Linked DNA regions of Anolis sagrei. The protein of the gene in region 2 interacts with the protein of the main gene of each other region in a pairwise test. Links are inferred from orthologs where the notes say so. Each region holds a gene or a part of one and is shown on either strand. Other genes may lie near its edges.

Evidence for each region. The genes of interacting proteins can lie anywhere in the genome.
Region 1: the proteins of CDC25B (region 2) and CDK2 interact in a two-hybrid assay, tested with the Homo sapiens proteins (2 studies listed by BioGRID and IntAct). The link is inferred for Anolis sagrei from reciprocal best matches to the Homo sapiens genes CDC25B and CDK2.

Annotation. Positions count from the first base shown.
Region 1 is NC_090022.1:146,497,408-146,506,161, forward strand, and holds the start of CDK2 (cyclin-dependent kinase 2), read left to right. Parts: upstream 1-4,101; 5' UTR 4,102-4,284; coding exon 4,285-4,400; intron 4,401-6,813; coding exon 6,814-6,891; intron 6,892-8,754. UniProt on the Homo sapiens protein: Serine/threonine-protein kinase involved in the control of the cell cycle; essential for meiosis, but dispensable for mitosis. Phosphorylates CABLES1, CTNNB1, CDK2AP2, ERCC6, NBN, USP37, p53/TP53, NPM1, CDK7, RB1, BRCA2, MYC, NPAT, EZH2.
Region 2 is NC_090025.1:1,198,504-1,209,593, reverse strand, and holds the start of CDC25B (M-phase inducer phosphatase 2), read right to left. Parts: upstream 4,711-11,090; 5' UTR 4,589-4,710; coding exon 4,494-4,588; intron 1-4,493. UniProt on the Homo sapiens protein: Tyrosine protein phosphatase which functions as a dosage-dependent inducer of mitotic progression. Directly dephosphorylates CDK1 and stimulates its kinase activity.

The DNA of each region.
Region 1 (8,754 bases), on a different chromosome or scaffold from region 2:
AGAGATGGAGAAAACTCCTATTCAACTGTTCTTCCCGACACTTTTCTCAGTATGCTTTTTACTGGTCAGATAGCCATGTATAAATACGTGAAGGGACGTCATAGGGAGGAGGAAGCAGGCTTATTTTCTGCTTCCCTGGAGACTAGGACATGGAACAATGGCTTCAAACTATGAGAAAAGAGATTCCATCTGAACATTAGGTAGAACTTCCTGACTATGAGAGCTGTTCAGCAGTGGAACTCTCTGCCCTGGAGTGTGATGGAGCCTCCTCCTTCGGAGGCTTTAAAACAGAGGCTGGGTGGTCATCTATCGGGGGTGCTTTGAATGTGATTTTCCTGCTTCTTAGCAGGGCATTGGACTGGATGGCCCACGAGGTCTCTTCCAATTCTATGATTCTATTCTAGAGTGGGTGTTGCAATGTGAATTCCATGTTTTCTAATTTTATCCTCTGATTGTGATTTGCAGATGGCTAGAAAGGTCACATTCCAACGGTTTTTCCAAAAAGTCATTTATTGCAACAGCTACCGTAACACACTTTTTCTAAAAAGTCGGCGGCTTTTTGCTTCGGTCCAATTAAAAGATGTGAAATTGACAGCTGCGGTTGGCTAAGAAGAAGTGGGTGCTTTATTCCCATCTGGCTGTGAACATTTATGGGTGCAAACCAACAATATGCCAACAGTAATGCTTCATCTGATGACATGGACATTAGTTCCTGAAATTTAAAACCATAAAATATCTGTATCCAGAACTAACTCTCAAAAGCGTAAATGAGGCGTCCCCCATGAATAAGCTTCCGTAAGATATAATTCATGATTTTTAATGGGAAAATCTTCTGATTTTTTTTAAAAAAATATTAGTGACAGGTTTTTCAGCATGGTCAGTGGGGTTTACTCCCTTGAAGAAGTTGTATCTTTCAGGTGCCAATAGATATTGGTATTTTTATTGATTTGCTGTAAGAGATTTTACACTTTTCAGTTAGAGTGTGATGCCTTAATGGAATTAACGGAAGAACCATTTATCTCCCAGGCTTCCCACATGGGTTTTCTCTAATGTTAGTCACTTATGTTGTACATTTTGATCACATGTAATGTTCAGGGAGCAAAGGGATCCTGATGCACCTTAGAGAACGAGAGAAAAAAAGTTGTAGCACAAACCTTTGGGTGCATCTACACTGTAGAAGTAATGCTGTCTGATCCCACTTAGAATCATAGAATCAAAGAGTTGGAAGAGACCTCATGGGCCATCCAGTCCAACCCCATTCTGCCAAGAAGCAGGAATGTTGCATTCAAATCACCCCTGACAGATGGCTTGAACTGCTATGGCTCAATACTGTGGAATCCTGGGAGTTGGAGTTTGGCACTCTTTGGCAGAGAAGGCAAAATACCATGTAAAACTATAGATCCCAGTATTTCATAGCAATGGGCTATGGCAGTGTCTTGTATAAAACAATATGTTAAATATAAAACATTGCAAAGCCACATTTTTCAGTATTTATTTATTTATTTACCACATTTATATGCCGCCCTTCTCATCCCGAAGGGTAATGAGTTGTACCCCAATAGCAACCAATCACAGCTCAGCTTTCATTTCTTTTTTTTAATCCAGTTTTATTAAATTTTACAAATGCTTCAAAAAAAGGAAAGATTTCTTAAACTACTGAGGTGAAATGTCATCTGTTCTGTGATTGGTTGGTTTTTTCCTACACTGCTGAGGTAAAAGGAAAGGTGTGCAGTGATTGGTTATGCCATCTACCTGATCTGTGATAGGTTATTTCTTAAACTGATGAGGTAAAAGGACAGCTAGTTTTACTGTTAAAACACATGTGTATTTTTGAATGCAACCGTTGTAATAATTTCATTTTACTATTAAAACACACGTGTATTGGATAGTAACTCTGTTTTAAAATTTCAAGTCATTCGGGCGTCTACTTTTCAAGTTTTGCATGCACAAACATACACGCTGATATTTTATAAAGATACTAGCTGTCCCCTGCCACACATTGCTGTGGCCCAGTCTGTGTATATGTGTTTTGTGTGTGTATATATTTGTGTATATGTGTATATATGTGTGTTTGTGTGTATATATATATATGTGTGTGTGATTTTGTGCATGTTTTGTAATGCATTTTTATTTTTTTGCTTTTTAAGTCTCTTCTGCTGTCTTTTTTCAGTGTTTTTATGAGTGATGGTCACTCATTGGCCTGATAGGTGTATTGTGTCCCCATTAGATGTCAATTCACCCAGTGGTTTTTGTTTTCTTTCCTCTTTCTCTCCTTTCTTCCTTCTCTACCTTTCCTTCCTTCCTTAACTCTTTGCTTCTATCCTTCCTTCTCTCTTCCCTTCGTTCCTTCCCTCCTTCTTTTTATGCTTCTTTCCCTCCTTCCTTCGCTTCCTCTTTCTTTCCTTTTCTCTGTCCTTTTCTCCTTCCTTCCTTCTCTACCTCTTTCTTTCCTTTTCCTTCCTTTCTCTCCTTTTCCTTCCTCTTTCTCTCCTTTCTTCCTTCTCTACCTCTTTCCTTCCTTTGCTTTTAACTTCCTTCCTTCTCTCTTTCCTTCTTTCCCTTTTTCTGCTTCCTTCCTTCCTTCCTTCCCTCTTTCCTTCCTTTCCTTTTTTCTGTCCTTCTCACATTCCTTCTCTACCTTTCTTTCCTTACCCCTTTTTCTTTTCCTTTCTCTTTCTCCCCTTTCTTCCATCTCTACTTCTTTCCTTCCTTCCTGCGCTCTTTGCTTCCATGCTTCCTTCTCTCTTTCCTTCTCTTTCCCTCCCTCTTTTCCCCCTTACTTTTTCCTTTCTTCTTTCCTTTCTCTCTCCCCTTCCTTCCCTCCCTTTTTTTCTGTATCGTCATTTAGCTTTTCATTATTTAGTTTTTTAGGGTTTTAAAGTCTTTTCCACTGTTTTTTTTTGGGGGGGAGGGGGCGGTTATGAGTGATGGTCACTCGTTGGTTTGTTAGGGGTATAGTGTCCAAAGTTCGTGTCAATTCGTCCAGTGGTTTTTGTGTTATGTTAATCCCACAAATGAACATTAGCTGTCCCCTGCCACACGTTGCTGTGGCCCAGTTGGTGCATATGTGCTTTGTGTGTGTGTATATTTGTGTATATGTGTATATACTAGGGCTGGGCGGTTTCGTTCGTTAATTTCGTAATTCGTTATTGATTCGTATTTAAATTAGCTTACGATCCGATATTGAGCCATGCAGGAGCAACTAAAAATTGAAATGAATTTTTCAATTTATTTCGTAATTGGTTCAAAATCGTTTTGAAATTGTTTCATTATTATTTCCATATGTCTGGTGCAAGTTTTAGGGATGTTGTTTGTTTTATCAGTGATAAAAAATAAATTATCACACCAACAGTCAACAACAGAGGGAGAGGGAAGCTTCAGAAGTTCTCCCTGTCCCATTTGGAGGGTTTTTTTTTTTTGCATGTTGCGCAATTGCGTCCGCCATTAACGAATCGATTCGTAATTGTTTCGTAATTGACGAAATGTTGTATATTTTGAACTTTTTTAAAGAAAAATTTCGGAATTCTTTTAAAAAACGAAACGCAAAAACCCCCTAAAAACGAATCGAGTTTAGAAACAAATTTTTCCGTGGTTACCCAGCCCTAGTATATACGTGTTTGTGTGTGTGGATGTATATATGTGTGTGTGTGGTTTTGCGCATGCGTTATAATGAATTTTTAATTTTTTTGCTTTCTAAGTCTCTTCTGCTGTGTTTTTCAGTGTTATTATGAGTGATGGTCACTCGTTGGCATGATAGGTGTCTTGCGTCCAAATTTGGTGTCAATTCGTCCAGTGGGTTTTGAGTTATGTTAATCCCACAAACAAACATTACATTTTTATTTATATTGAAGATATACACACCCGCACACACTGATTTGCAGGCTAAATACCAGAAACTCTGCTACCCTAACCTTCTCCCCGGTCCCCTTTGAGCCAGATTTCCCGCCTTCTTCCTTCCCTTTTTCCTTCTCTGTCTCTTCTTCCCGCCCCTCACAAACCTGCTACGTCACAGGCACCGAAGCCAATAGGACGTGAGGAGGGGCGGGGCTAGGAGAACGCGGGAAGTCGCGTGGCGGGAGGGAGGGAAGGGGCCGGGCCTTGTGAAGCTTTGGCAATTGTCCCGCCCCTTCCGAGTGGAGGAGCCTGGCGCGCGGGAAAAGAAAGCGCGCGGAAAGAAGGGAGAGAGGGAGGAAGCCGGAAAGCAAGGGCCGGCGAGGAAGCCACTCTGCGGAGAAAGCCGCCCCCCCTCCCCCGCCACCCTGGGATCCTCCCCGAGCGCCGCCCATGGAGAACTTCCAGAAAGTGGAGAAGATCGGCGAGGGCACCTACGGGGTGGTCTACAAGGCGAAGAACAAAATCACGGGCGAAGTGGTGGCCCTGAAGAAGATCCGCCTGGACACGTGAGTGCGCAGGCACACGTGCACGCCGTGGGCGCGGTCCTTCGAGGGCAGGCTTGCTCCGGAGTCTGTTGGGGAGGGGCTTGAGGAGGCTTCCCCGCCTTTGGCCTGGGCCAAGAGTCCCAGGAAGGGCGTGGAACAGTGGCTCTCAACCTGTGGGTCCCCGGAAACTCCCAGAATTCCCAGCCAGTTTACCAGCTGTTAGGATTTCTGGAAGTTGAAGGCCAAAACATCTGGGGACCCACAGGTTGAGAACCATTGGCGTAAAAGTCGTAGGCTGTTAGGAATTGTGGGAGTTGTAGTCCAAAACACCTGAAGGGCCGGAGTTGCCCCATGCCTGGTGTAGATGCACCCTGGGTTACCTCAGTAGACTTAAGTTGGCAAGACTGTTTTGATTATGTAGGCAGCTGATGGGTGAGAGAAAGTGGTATCTATGATATAGAAGTTTGATACCGTTTGGGCTCCCTTATCTGGAATTCCAAAACACCCCAAAGTTGTCCCCAAGGGAGTGGCTGAAGTGGCAACACCTTTGCTTTCTGATAGTTCATTGTACACAAACTTTGGTTCCATAAACAAAATTACTAAAATATTGTGTACAACAGTGTTTCTCAACCAGTGGGTCCCCAGATGTTTTGGCCTTCAACTCCCAGAAATCCTCACAGCTGGTAAACTGGCTGGGATCTCTGGGAGTTATAGGCCAAAACACTTGGGGACCCACAAGTTGAGGACCACTGGTGTACAAGGTTAGTGTCAGATTGTGTGTACAATCACGTGTATGAATGTAGTGTGTAGATTTGGATCAATCTTCCAAGTTATCTCCTTTGCTGTGTGTATACAAATAAAGGTATTCCAAAATCTAAAACACATCTTGTTCTGGGCATTTCGGAAAAGGGACGCTCAGCTTTGGACTGTGTTAGCTGTCATGTTGCCACCTTACAAAGTTCTGGTCTTGGGTGAGGTATCTTTGGGATTTGGATTTAGTTGAATATTCCCTCACATTTGTTTGTCTTCAACTAAGTTTCAGTCATGGACCGAAGATGACTCTATTGTGGGGTTTTCTTGGCAAGATTTGTTCAGAGGGGGTTTGCTGTTGTCTTCCTCTGAGACTGAGCGCCCTTCCACACAGCCACATAACCCACAATATCAAGGCAAAAAAATCCCACAATGTCTGCTTTGAACTGGGTAATCTGAGTCCACACTGACATATAATCTAGGTCAAAGCCTCAGGGGAGGCCAGGGGACAGCATCACCTTGTCTCCTGTATATGCCATCAGCTGGAGACCCCCCCCCCCCAGCACAACTGCTGCTCTGGGCCAGAGTGAAAGAGGGGGGGAGGGGACAGTTCCACTTTGTCTCCTGTGCTATTCTAATAATATAATAAAATATATTGTATATACATATAATAATTATAATATTATAATGTAATGCAATATAATACCACTAATAATAATATGATATTATGATTATATATTTATATTACTAATAATATTACAATATAATTGGTATAGTACAATATAGCAATATTTAAAACTGATATTGTACTATGCTAATAATATAATATATTGTAGGTATATATACCTTGTAAGCCGCTCTGATTCCCCTTCAGGGTGAGAAGGGCAGCATATAAATGTCCTAAATAAATAAATAAAGCAGCTAATGTGGGCATTTATTTAACTGTAGGGCTGTGCCTTGCCCAGTGGGTTTCTATCAGGGCTGAGCAGGAGTTTGAAGCCTGGTCTCAAACCAGAACTAGCGGAGATAATTGTAAACACCTCCTTACTATACAAATCCCAGGTTTCCATAGAATGGGCCACAGCATGTTGAAAGGAGGACTGTAATTGCTATCAAAGGTAGAAATATAAATATATTTTTGACCTCCATTGCAGGAATGGCAGGCAGTGCTGGAGAAAAGGAATTTTCTTTGTTGCTTGGGTTTCATAGGGTAGCTAGTGACTGAATTGCTTTTGGAGTGAGAACCTATGTAAAGGAAAACACAATCATGGCTTGCACCAAACTTGATCTGTGGGATCTGAATTTCCATACCTTTCAACAAGTTGGGATACTTCTTGCCTCTGCTTGGAGCTGCTTTAGTTGTGCAAAGTGATTTTTCTTGAGTGAGCATAAGCCAGTTATTGCATCTCAAGCTGAATATACTTGAGTCATTTGCTTTACAAGGTGCTTCGTTTGGTGCTGCTGCTGCTGGTGGAATAATTGTGTTTTTGGAAAAAAATGTGGCTTGTTCTTTTAGAAAGAGTTTTCCAGTTGTTAACAATATGTATGTATGGTGTTTTTTTTTTTTGTTCAGTCATACTATGTGATAATTTAAGGATAGACGACCTGGAGCAAAACCATATGTCATTCAGCCCTGTAGTTCCATCCCCTCCCTTCTCACCTTGTCTTTCCTGTTTGCTTCCAGGGAAACGGAGGGAGTCCCAAGCACAGCCATCCGGGAAATCTCACTGCTAAAGGAACTGAACCATCCCAACATTGTCAAGTAGGTGCTTGAACTAAAACTGGGAAAGAGGGACTTGTGTTAGGAATCCCATCTGTGGGGTGGTGGGAGAGCTCTGCTATATTTGTCAAGGAAACAATTGAAGTTGAAAGATGAGTAATGTTTGGTGCTTTAAACACTTCGAGCTTCACCTCACAAAATTCACACTAGCAAGGCCAATTTTAAGAATCGTTTTTGTTTATTTTGTGTCACAAGCATTGCATAAATAAGTATAAAATTGATAAAAATAGAGGGAATAGAAGTGGTGAAATATTCTTTGACCAAAAACGGGCAACAGCGATCACATTGTAGCTTTAAACATTTTTTCCTCTATACATGAGGCAGGATACTGTGGACAGTCATGCATATGGGGAGTTGTTTCTTCTGCCACACAGTTGCACAAGGTGGAGGATTCTTTTAGATAGTGGCATTTTTCCAGGTTGTCTTTTGATTTTCCCATTCTATTTTTGAGTGTGTTCAGGGACTTCCAAGTTGCCCATTCTTGGTTTGCCCTTGGAGGAAGACCCTCGCGGGGGGGCCATCCATTTGGGGTTTTCTGGTTTAGCTGCCCAGAGGGATACTCTTGCTGTTGCTGGGAGAACATTAAGAGGAGTGGTGATTCTCATAAAGCTTTTCCTTGATTTGCGTCTACTGGGAGGAGGCTGGTAGCCATGCAGTGGGTGGCTTTCACAGTGTTCAACCTTATGTCTCTCTCAGTTAGCAGCAACTTCCTGGATTTGAGACGGGGGGGGGGGGGAATATATTCTACAAGCTACCTTGTAGGATATATCAACACGTCCAGCTTTAAGACAGCCTGTGATTAGTCTACATGTTTTGTTCAGTGCTATATTCACCTGCTTCGTGTGGGCAGATTTGTGCCAGACGGAGCAAGCATACTTGGCAGTTGAGTAAGACAAGGCCAGGGCTGATGTTCTCATTAATTTTGGATCTGCTCCCCATGTGGTGCCAGTAAGTTTCCTCAGGATGTTATTGCATGCAGTTACTTTGTGCTTGGTGTTCATACAATGTTTCCTAAATGTTAGTGTTGGATCTAAGGTGACACTAAGATATTTAGGATGGAAACAGTGTTCACATTCTTGACCTTCCCAGGTAACTTTCAATTTCCTTCAGTTACGTATGTGGAAAGCACACACTTGTGTCTTGGCAGGGTTAGGCTTCAGGTGTATATCTTTGCAGTAGCTGGTGAGATCTTTCAAGGCACTAGTAAATTGGTTTTTGAATGTTTCAAACCCAAAAGCATTGCTTTTAAACATTGTAACAAATGATGGGAGCTGTAGACTGAAACATTTGGAAGGCAAAAAGTTCCCAACCTAATGTAAGCAAGGCCATGGGATATGGCAGTCTAATGGCTTTTCATCTACAACAGTGCTTCTTAAAATGTTGGTCCCCTTAGCTCAGTGTTGATGTCCTGAAAAATTTGGCAACAATGAAAGTTTTCTGACCACCACTCATTTACACAAATATGTTAGTAACAATGCAGTGTTTATAATGGACTCTGGAGAAGATGCTTCAGCTGTACTCCCCAAAAAGGAAAATCAGCCTGTTTAGCAAGCCTTGTAAATGCTTACATATTATCAGTAAATGTTTGATTTGTATAACTATTTTATATACCCATATACCCTTTTTGTGTAAATATTTCTTGGGTGCAAAAGAGGTTACAATTTTTTTCTTGGGAAGAAAGGAGTTAAGAAAAAGTTAAGAAGGGCTGCCTTACAAGACCTGTCAAGCACTGGAGCTTTCAGAGAAGAATGTGTTTAAAACCATAAGGAGATGAAGGAAGGCTATTTAATGGGTGTAATACTAAAAATCGAGGTGTAATGGCTTCCTGATTATTTTGATTTTATC
Region 2 (11,090 bases):
GGAGGCTCCTTCTTTGGAAGCTTTTTAAGCAGAGGCTGGATGGCCCTCTGTCAGGGGCGATTTGAATGCAATATTCCTGCTTCTTGGCAGAATGGGGTTGGACTGGATAGCCCAGGAGGTCTCTTCCAACTCTTGGATTCCATGATTCTATGATTCTATGCATATATATATACACACAATACACATATACACAGACTAGGCCACAACAATGTGTGGCAGGGGACGGCTAGAATATATATATATATTGCTTCAAGATGCCCTTTGTGACTGATAATACCCTTGCAACCTTCCTTCCTTCCTCGACATGCATGCCTTCCCTTGGCCTTCCAATCAGCCTGCAATTACTTAAAAGTTGCACACAGTTTTGGTGGGGGATCTTCACCCGAAATTCCCACCAGATCTGCTTTGCACTGGGTCATCTGAGTCCACACTGCCACAGAATCCAGTTCCAAGCAGGCAACGTGGGATTTTGTCCAGCGGTGTGGAAGGGGCCTCCGGTCACCCAGTTCCAAGCAGATCTCGTGGGATGACCTGACTCGACATCCTGGGTTAGAGGAACACGTGGAAGGAAGGAAGGAAGTGAAGGAGACTCATTGCAAAACGAGGGCCAAATGTGCTTGCGATGGGTGAGCGAGGTCCCTCCTGCAAAAGCAAAGCTTGGGCCACTTTCCCCACGTGTTTGAGGAGACAGAGAATTGGGGAAAGGACACGGATGACCACGGAAGACAAATGGAGTCAGAACAAGGCCAAACAATAACACCACTAACCTATTAACATTAATAACAACAGTATATTGACAGAAATATATAATCATTATTGTTGTTATTAACATACTATTAGGATTAATATGAATGATACCAATATATTTATTGTTATTATTAGTCATAATACTCCTTTGGGGGGGGGCAAGGGGTCTCTTGGAGTGGCCCCCGTTGAGGCCTGCAAAACAGGGGAGCCCCCCCTCCCAGCACCCCACTCACACAACTATTGATACAGATATATATATTTATAGAGATATATTTATATAGAGAGAGACTGAAATAAAAGTAGATATACATAGTCAGAGATAAATATATTTATAGTGATACAGATTTTATAGCTATATAACGAAAAAGAGAGCAATATAGAAAGGTATTTATAGAGGGATAGATATATTTATATTTATATAGAGAGAGATTTATAGAGAAATACAGATATATATATATAGAGAGAGAGAGAGAAGCAGAGATATATTTAAGATATATATATTTATAGAGAGATATTTATAGAGAGATATTTATACAGAAAGATATATATATATATATATATATATATATATATATATATGGAGATATATAGATATATGTAAATGTAGATATATATAGCGATATATATATATATATAGTTTTATATAGAGAGAGAGATTAATAGACATATAGAGAAATAAATATTTATAGAGATATATTTATAGAGAGAGAAAGATATATTTACATATATATATATATATAGGAAGAGAGATATATATTTAAATGTAGATATATAGAGAGAGAGCCATAGAGAGATAGAGAAATACAGATATATATATAGTTAAGATATATATTTATTGAGAGATTAATAGACATTAAGAGAAATAGATATTTATAGAAAGATATATTTATATAAAGAGATATTTATACAGAAAGATATATTTACAGACATATATTGAAAGAGATATAGATATAAATATAGATATGTATTTATAGAGAGACCCAGAGAGATAGAGAAATATAGATACATATATTTATAGTTAGATATATATTTATTGAGAGGTTAATAGATATAATCTATAGATTATAGAGAGGTATATTGAGATATATAGAGATTGATATATATATATAGATTTTTATACAGAAGATATATTTACAGAGATAAAGATATATTTATTTATTTATTTATATAGAGAGAGATATTTAAATATAGATAAATATAGATTTAGAGACACAAAGAGACATAGAGAGTGAGAAATACAGATATATATATATATATTTATAGTTAGATGTATATCTATTGAGAGATTAATAGATATATAGAAATATATATATATATTTATAGAGACAGATTTAACAGATATATATATAGAGAAAGAAATTGATATATAGAGGTATTTGTACAGAAAGATATATACACAGAGAGAGAGAGAGAGAGAAAGAGATATATTTATAGATATATAGAGATATTTAAATATAGATAAATAGATATTTAGAGAGAGAAATACAGAGATGGATATATAGATAGATATCTAGAGAGAGAGACAGAGAGATTTAAGCGATATGTATATAGAGAGGGATTGATATATAGAGATATTTCTAGAGATGAAGAGATATATTTATAGATAGATATAGAGATATTTAAATATAAATATGTATTTACAGAGACAGAGAGAGTGAGAAATACAGAGATATATCTATTTATAATTAGATGTCTATCTATTGAGAAATGAATATATATAGAGAGAGGCACAGAGATATATTTAGTTAGATCTATTTTTATTGAGAGATTGATAGATATATAGAGAAATAGGTATTTATTTATAGGTAAATATATAGATATATTTAAATATATATAGAGATGCACAGAGAGATAAATGCGGAGAGAGATATTTATAGTTAGATATATATTTATTGAGAGATTAATAGATATATATAGAGAGATAGATATTTAGTTATAGATAGGCAGATATATATATATATTTAAATATATATATTTATAGAGATGCACAGAGATATATTTATAGTTAGATTTATTTTTATTGAGAGATTGATAGATATATAGAGAAATAGCTATTTAAAGAGAGAGATATATATACTTATAGAGACAGATATATTTAACAGATATATATAGAGAGAGAAATTGATATTTAGAGGTATTTCTACAGAAAGAGAGATATATACAGAGATAGAGAGAGATATATTTATAGATATAGAGAGATATTTAAACAGAGAGAAATATATATTTACATATGGAGAGAGAGAAATGCAGAGATGGATATATAGATATATAAATAGAGAGATATAGAGATATTTAAATATAGATAAAGAGATATTTAGAGAGAGAGAAATACAGATATATATATATATATATTTATTTATATATATTTATATATATTTATAATTAGATGTCTATCTATTGAGAGATTAATAGAGAGAGAGGCACAGAGATATATTTATAGTTAGATTTATTTTTATTTTTATTGAGAGATTGACGGATATATAGAGAAATAGATATTTAAAGAGAGATATATATTTATAGAGATATATTTAACAGATATATATATAAATTGATATATACAGAAATTTCTACAGAAAGATATATATATATATATACACACACACACACATACAGAGATAAAGAGATATATTTATAGATATTTAGAGATATTTAAACAGAGAGAAAGATATATTTACATATGGAGAGAGAGGGAGATAAATACAGAGATGGATATAGATATATAAATATATAGAGAGAAATAAATATATATTTATGGAGAGATATATTTATAGACAGAGATATATTTACAGAGATATATTTACAGAGATATATTTATAGATATATAGAGATATTTAAACAGAGATATTTAATAGATATAGATATTTAAATATAGATAAATAGATATTAGAGAGAGAAATACAGAGAGATATATATTTATAATTAGATGTCTATCTATTGAGAGATTAATAGATATAGAGAGAGGCACAGAGAGATATTTATAGTTAGATTTATTTTTATTGAGAGATTGATAGAGATATATATAGAGAAATAGGTATTTATTTATAGATAGGTAGATATATTTAAATATATAGAGAGATGCACAGAGAGATATTTATAGTTAGATTTTTATTGAGAGATAGATAGATAGAGACAGAGAAATATTTAACAGAGAGAGAAATTGATATTTAGAGGTATTTCTACAGAAAGATAAATATCTACAGAGATAAAGAGATATATTTATAGATATAGAGAGATATATTTAAACAGAGAGAAATATATATTTACATATAGAGAGAGAGAAGGGGGGAGAGAGAAATACAGAGATGGATATAGATATATAAATATATAGAGATATATTTATAGATATATAGAGATATATTTAAGCAGAGAGATATTTAACAGAGAGAGAGGAATACAGAGAGATATCTATTTATAATTAGATGTCTATCTATTGAGAGATTAATAGATATAGAGAGAGGCACAGAGAGATATTTATAGTTAGATTTATTTTTATTGAGAGATTGATAGAGATATAGAGAAATAGATATTTAAAGAGAGAGATATATTTATAGAGACAGAGATATATTCAATATAGAGAGAAATTGATATTTAGAGGTATTTCTACAGAAAGATATATATCTACAGAGATATAGAGAGAGATATTTAAACAGAGATTAATAGATATTTAGAGAGAGAGAGACACACACAGAGGGAAATACAGAGATGGATATAGATAGATATCTAGATATGTAAATAGAGAGACTGACCTTCCTAGGCCGGCCAGTCTGTCCATGTTGAGGGCCAGGCTGGCCACCGGGGAGAGGCCCCAACCCAAGCTGCTGGTGGGCCGGCGGGGATCCATGCTTTCTCTCGCCTTGCCTTGCCTTGCCTGCCTGCCTGCCTGCCTGCCTTCCTTCCTATACAACACACAGGCCAGGAGTAGGAAGGCGGCAGCGGCAGCAGTCCCACCGACTCCTCAGGAAGTCCAGGCCGAATGGAGCCAGCGCGGGAAGGAGGACCCGCTTTTATACCCAAGGGGCGGGGCCTCAGCCCAAGCCACGCCCCCGACACGCCCCCTCTATTGATATTCGAAAAATAACAGCGCCAAAGAGAGCAGCAGGCGGCAGCCAATCCGCGCGCAGGAAGGAGGGCAGGCACCCGGAAGTCAGGGAGGAAGGAAAGGCAAGCAGAAAGGAAAGAAGGAAGGAGCGGGTTTAAACCGCATCATTTATTATTATTTATTTATGTATTGCAGTTACTTCTACCCCGCCCTTCTCACCCCCGAGGGGGGACTCAGGGCGGCTTACAAACAAAGGCCCAAATTCGATGCCTGTCAAAATATACAGCATATATAAAACAGTATAAACATTTAGCAGCATTAAAACACATCACTACATAATATAATAAAAACAATTTCATGCACAGTGAGATTCAGAGTTCCGAAATGTCCATTCATTCCAACAATTCCTGCTCATCAATGAGTCCTTATTTTAGCTGCCAGAATGTCCAAAAGCTTGGTCCCAGATCCAGGCCTTCAGTTTTTTTCTGAACGACAGAAGGGAGGTCGCTGATCTGATCTCCCCGGGGAGTGAGTTCCACAGGTGAGGGGCCACCACCGAGAAGGCCCTGCTCCTCGTCCCCGCCAGCCTCGCTTGAGATAGAGGCGGGGTCGAGAGCAGGGCCTCCCCAGAAGATCTTAGACTCCGAGGTGGGATGTAGATGGAGATCCGTTCGGACAGATACACTGGGCCGGAACCGTATAGGGTTTTGTAGGTTAAAACCAGCACTTTGAATTGTGCTCGGAATTGGATCGGCAGCCAGTGGAGCTGATGTAGCAGGGGGGTGGTGTGCTCCCTGTACGCCGCTCCAGTGAGCAATCTGGCTGCTTCTCGCTGGACTAATTGTATAGACTACGAGATTGGTTATGATTCTATGATAAGACGAAGCGGATTATTTTAGTGTAATTAGATGATAGTGTATTAGTGATATGTTGTTTTTTTTGTCGTTGTAGTTATTGTAAAATGTGTTTTTTATATGTTGTACACCGCCGCGAGTCGCCCTAGGGCTGAGAGCGGCAGTTAACAAATGCAGCAAATAAATAAATAAAATAATAGTTTCCGAGCAGTCTTCAAAGGCAACCCCACGTAGAGTGCATTGCAGTAATCCAACCGGGATGTGACAAGAGCGTGGACCACCGTGGCCAGATCTGGCTTCTCAAGGTACGGGCGCAGCTGGCGCACAAGTTTTAATTGTGCGAAAGCTCTCCCGGCCACCGCTGAGACCTGGGGTTCCAGGCTCAGCGATGAGTCCAGGATCACTCCCATCAGCTCTACTGTGTAGACCAGGGGTCCTCAAACTTTTTAAGCAGAGGGCCAGGTCACAGTCCCTCAAACTGTTGGAGGGCCGGATTATAATTTGAAAAACAAAACAATAATAATAATAACTTTATTTTTTATTATTGTTATTGCTATTGTGGTTGTTCTTATAAGTGAGGGGCTAGGTGTGAAAAAGTAAGTGCCTGCCACCCCTGTCTTCGGGAGCGTCCACACAGTAGGGCTGATGCGGTTTAAACCCGCTCCTTCCTTCCTTCCTTCTTTCATGCTTGCCTTTGCTTCCTTCCCGACTTCCGGGTGCCTGCCCTCCTTCCTGCGCGCGGATTGGCTGCCGGCTGCTGGTCTCTTATTTGTAGTGTAAAAAACACTTAAAAACAATACAATAATTAAAATGTTAACAAATATAAACTTATTAGTATTCCAATGGGAAGTGTGGGCCTGCTTTTGGCTGATGAGATAGGGTTGTTGTTGTTGTTGTTGTGTGCTTTCAAGTCGTTTCAGACTTAGGTTGACCCTGAGCGAGGGCCGGGTTAATGACCTTGGAGGGCCACATCCGGCCCCCGGGCCATAGTTTGAGAGCCCCTGGTGTAGACGCAACCAAAAACACCGGTGGCAGGCACTTACTTTTTGACCCCTGTTGTTGTTCATTCGTTCAGTCGTCTCCGACTCTTCGTGACCTCATGGACCAGCCCACGCCAGAGCTCACTGTCAGCCGTCACCACCCCCAGTGTCTCCTTCAAGGTCAGTCCAGTCACTTCAAGGATGCCGTCCATCCATCTTGCCCTTGGTCGGCCCCTCTTCCTTTTGCCTTCCACCTTCCCCAGCATCATTGTCTTCTCTAGGTGACCCCACGCCAAAGCTCCCTGTCGGCCGTCACCACCCCCAACTCCTTCAAGGTCAGTCCAGTCCCTTCAAGGATGCCATCCATCCACCTTGCCCTTGGTCGGCCCCTCTTCCTTTTGCCTTCCACTTTCCCCAGCATCATTGTCTTCTCTAGGTGACCTCATGGACCAGCCCACGCCAAAGCTCCCTGTCGGCCGTCACCACCCCCAACTCCTTCAAGGTCAGTCCAGTCCCTTCAAGGATGCCATCCATCCACCTTGCCCTTGGTCGGCCCCTCTTCCTTTTGCCTTCCACTTTCCCCAGCATCATTGTCTTCTCTAGGTGACCTCATGGACCAGCCCACGCCAAAGCTCCCTGTCGGCCGTCACCACCCCCAACTCCTTCAAGGTCAGTCCAGTCCCTTCAAGGATGCCATCCATCCACCTTGCCCTTGGTCAGCCCCTCTTCCTTTTGCCTTCCACCTTCCCCAGCATCATTGTCTTCTCTAGGTGACCTCATGGACCAGCCCACGCCAAAGCTCCCTGTCGGCCGTCACCACCCCCAACTCCTTCAAGGTCAGTCCAGTCCCTTCAAGGATGCCATCCATCCACCTTGCCCTTGGTCGGCCCCTCTTCCTTTTGCCTTCCACTTTCCCCAGCATCATTGTCTTCTCTAGGTGACCTCATGGACCAGCCCACGCCAAAGCTCCCTGTCGGCCGTCACCACCCCCAACTCCTTCAAGGTCAGTCCAGTCCCTTCAAGGATGCCATCCATCCACCTTGCCCTTGGTCGGCCCCTCTTCCTTTTGCCTTCCACTTTCCCCAGCATCATTGTCTTCTCTAGGTGACCTCCTGGACCAGCCCACGCCAAAGCTCCTTGTCGGCTGTCACCACCCCCAGCTCCTTCAAGGTCAGTCCAGTCACTTCAAGGATGCCATCCCTCCACCTTGCCCTTGGTCGGCCCCTCTTCCTTTTGCCTTCCACTTTCCCCAGCATCATTGTCTTCTCTAGGTGACCTCATGGACCAGCCCACGCCAAAGCTCCCTGTCGGCCGTCACCACCCCCAACTCCTTCAAGGTCAGTCCAGTCCCTTCAAGGATGCCATCCATCCACCTTGCCCTTGGTCGGCCCCTCTTCCTTTTGCCTTCCACTTTCCCCAGCATCATTGTCTTCTCTAGGTGACCTCATGGACCAGCCCACGCCAAAGCTCCCTGTCGGCCGTCACCACCCCCAACTCCTTCAAGGTCAGTCCAGTCCCTTCAAGGATGCCATCCATCCACCTTGCCCTTGGTCGGCCCCTCTTCCTTTTGCCTTCCACTTTCCCCAGCATCATTGTCTTCTCTAGGTGACCTCCTGGACCAGCCCACGCCAAAGCTCCTTGTCGGCTGTCACCACCCCCAGCTCCTTCAAGGTCAGTCCAGTCACTTCAAGGATGCCATCCCTCCACCTTGCCCTTGGTCGGCCCCTCTTCCTTTTACCTTCCACTTTCCCCAGCATCATTGTCTTCTCTAGGTGATCTCCTGGACCAGCCCACACCAAAGCTCCCTGTCGGCCGTGGCCACCCCCAGCTCCTTCAAGGTCAGTCCAGTCACTTCAAGGATGCCATCCATCCACCTTGCCCTTGGTCGGCCCCTCTTCCTTTTGCCTTCCACTTTCCCCAGCATCATTGTCTTCTCTAGGTGACCTCCTGGACCAGCCCACGCCAGAGCTCCCTGTCGGCCGTCACCACCCCCAGGGTCTCCTTCAAGGTCAGTCCAGTCCCTCCAAGGATGCCATCCATCCATCTTGCCCTTGGTCGGCCCCTCTTCCTTTTGCCTTCCACTTTCCCCAGCATCATTGTCTTCTCTAGGTGACCTCCTGGACCAGCCCACGCCAGAGCTCCCTGTCGGCCGTCACCACCCCCAGGGTCTCCTTCAAGGTCAGTCCAGTCACCTCAAGGATGCCATCCATCCACCTTGCCCTTGGTCGGCCCCTCTTCCTTTTGCCTTCCACTTTCCCCAGCATCATTCCCTTCTCCAGGCTTTGCTGTCTCCTCATGATGTGGCATTCAAAGGACTTCAACTTTGTCTCTCATCTCCTTCCCTCCAGTGAGCAGCCGGGCTTTATTTCCTGGAGGATGGACTGGTTGGATCTTCTCGCAGCCCAAGGCACTCTCAGAACTTTCCTCCAACACCACAGCTCAAAAGCATCTCTCTTCCTTTGCTCAGCCTTCCCGAAGGTCTAGCTCTCACATCCGTAGGTGACTCCAGGGAAGACCATGGCTTGGACTAGGCAATGGATCTTGGTTGCCAGTCTGATGTCTCTGCTCTTGACTCTTTTATCGAGACTGGACATTGCTCTCCTCCCAAGAAGGAAGCGTCTCCTGATTTCCTGGCCACAGTCTGCGTCCACACTCATCTTTGCGCCTAGAAATACAAAGTCTGTCACGGCCTCCACATTTTCTCCCTCTATTTTCCAGTTGTCAATCATTCTTGTTGCCATAATCTTGGTTTTTTTGACGTTTAGCTGCAACCCGGCTTTTTTTTTTGACCCCTAGCCCATCAATAATAACAACAACAATAGTAACAATAATAATAATAATAAATACTATTTAATAAATAATAATAATAATAATAGTATAATAATAATAATAATAAGTAAAACATAAATAAAATAACAATAATATAAAATTAAAAATAATTAATAATAATATTTAATAAAATTATTATTATTAATAGTAATAAAAATTACTATTTAAAATAAATAAAATAATAAAATAAAATTAAAATAATTACTACAAATAATAATAACAATAATAATTAATAAAAATAATAATAAAACAATAAATGCAAAGACTCTGGCACAAACCAGTCAAGATGGTCCCAGTGGTGATGGGCACACCGGGTGCAGTGCCTCAAGACCTTGGTCTGCACTTAAAAACAATCGGCACCAACAAGATTACCATCTGCCATCTGCCAACAGGTGGCCATCCAGCCTTTGTAATATTAGTATTAAGAAGAAGAAGAAGAAGAAGTAAAAAATAAATTAAATGAAAAAAATTAATATAAATAATAATAATAAATTGAGGATTTAAAGATCGAACTGCAAAGACTCTGGCACAAGACAGTCAAGGGGGTCCCAGTGGTGATCGGCACACCAGGTGCAGTGGCTGAAGACCTTGGCCTGCACTTAAACACAATTGGCGCTGACAAGATTACCATCTGCCATTTGCAAAAGGCCACCTTACTGGGATCTGCACGCATTATTTGCCAATACATCACACAGTCCAAGATACTTGGGAAGGGTCCGACATGGGATCCAATACAACAGCCAGCAGAGTGATCTTGTCTGCTGTGGACTCATCTTTTTGTGTCTCAAATAATAATAATAATAACAACAACGACAACAACAGCCAGCAGAGTGACCTTGTCTGCTGTGTACCAATCTTGTTGTGTTTCAAATAATAATAAAATATTTAACGATTATGATGATGATGGTGATGGTTATTACTTTTTGCATCTGGAAAATCCTGCAAATCTCTTGGGAAGACAAGACAACAAATGTCAGCGTGTTGGAAGAAGAAGCAAAGACCACCAGCATTGAAGCGATGGTCCTCCGTCATCAACTCCGTTGGACCAGCCACATTGTCCGGATGCCAAAGGTCACCATCTCCCAAAGCAGTTGCTCTACTCCGAACTCAAGAACGGAAAACGGAATGTTGGTGGACAGGAAAAGAGATTGAAAGATGGGCTCAAAGCCAACCTTGAAAACTCTGCCATAGACACTGAGAACTGGGAAGCCCTGGCCCTTGAGCGCTCCAGCTGGAGGACAGCTGTGACCAGCAGTGCTGCAGAATTCGAAGAGGCACGAATGGAGGGTGAAAGAGAGAAACGTGCCGAGAGGAAGGCTCCTCAAGCTAACTCTGACTGAGACCGCCTTCCACCTGGAAACCGATGACCTCACTGCGGGAGATGATGCAGATCAAGAATAGGGCTCCACAGCCACCTATGGACCTACCCTGGGAGACTATCCTACTTGGCCAACGAGGAATCACCTAACTAACTGGCTTTTGTTCTGCAGATAAGACCCCAAGGGAGCTTTCTCTATCATCTTGCGGCCGTTATCTGGGTTCCGGCCTGGCCCATGTTTGCGCATATTTGTGTAATGGAAAGGGCTTTGGCTTCCGATAGGCGAAGGAGCCATAACAAAAGGGGAGCTCACCATGTGGAAA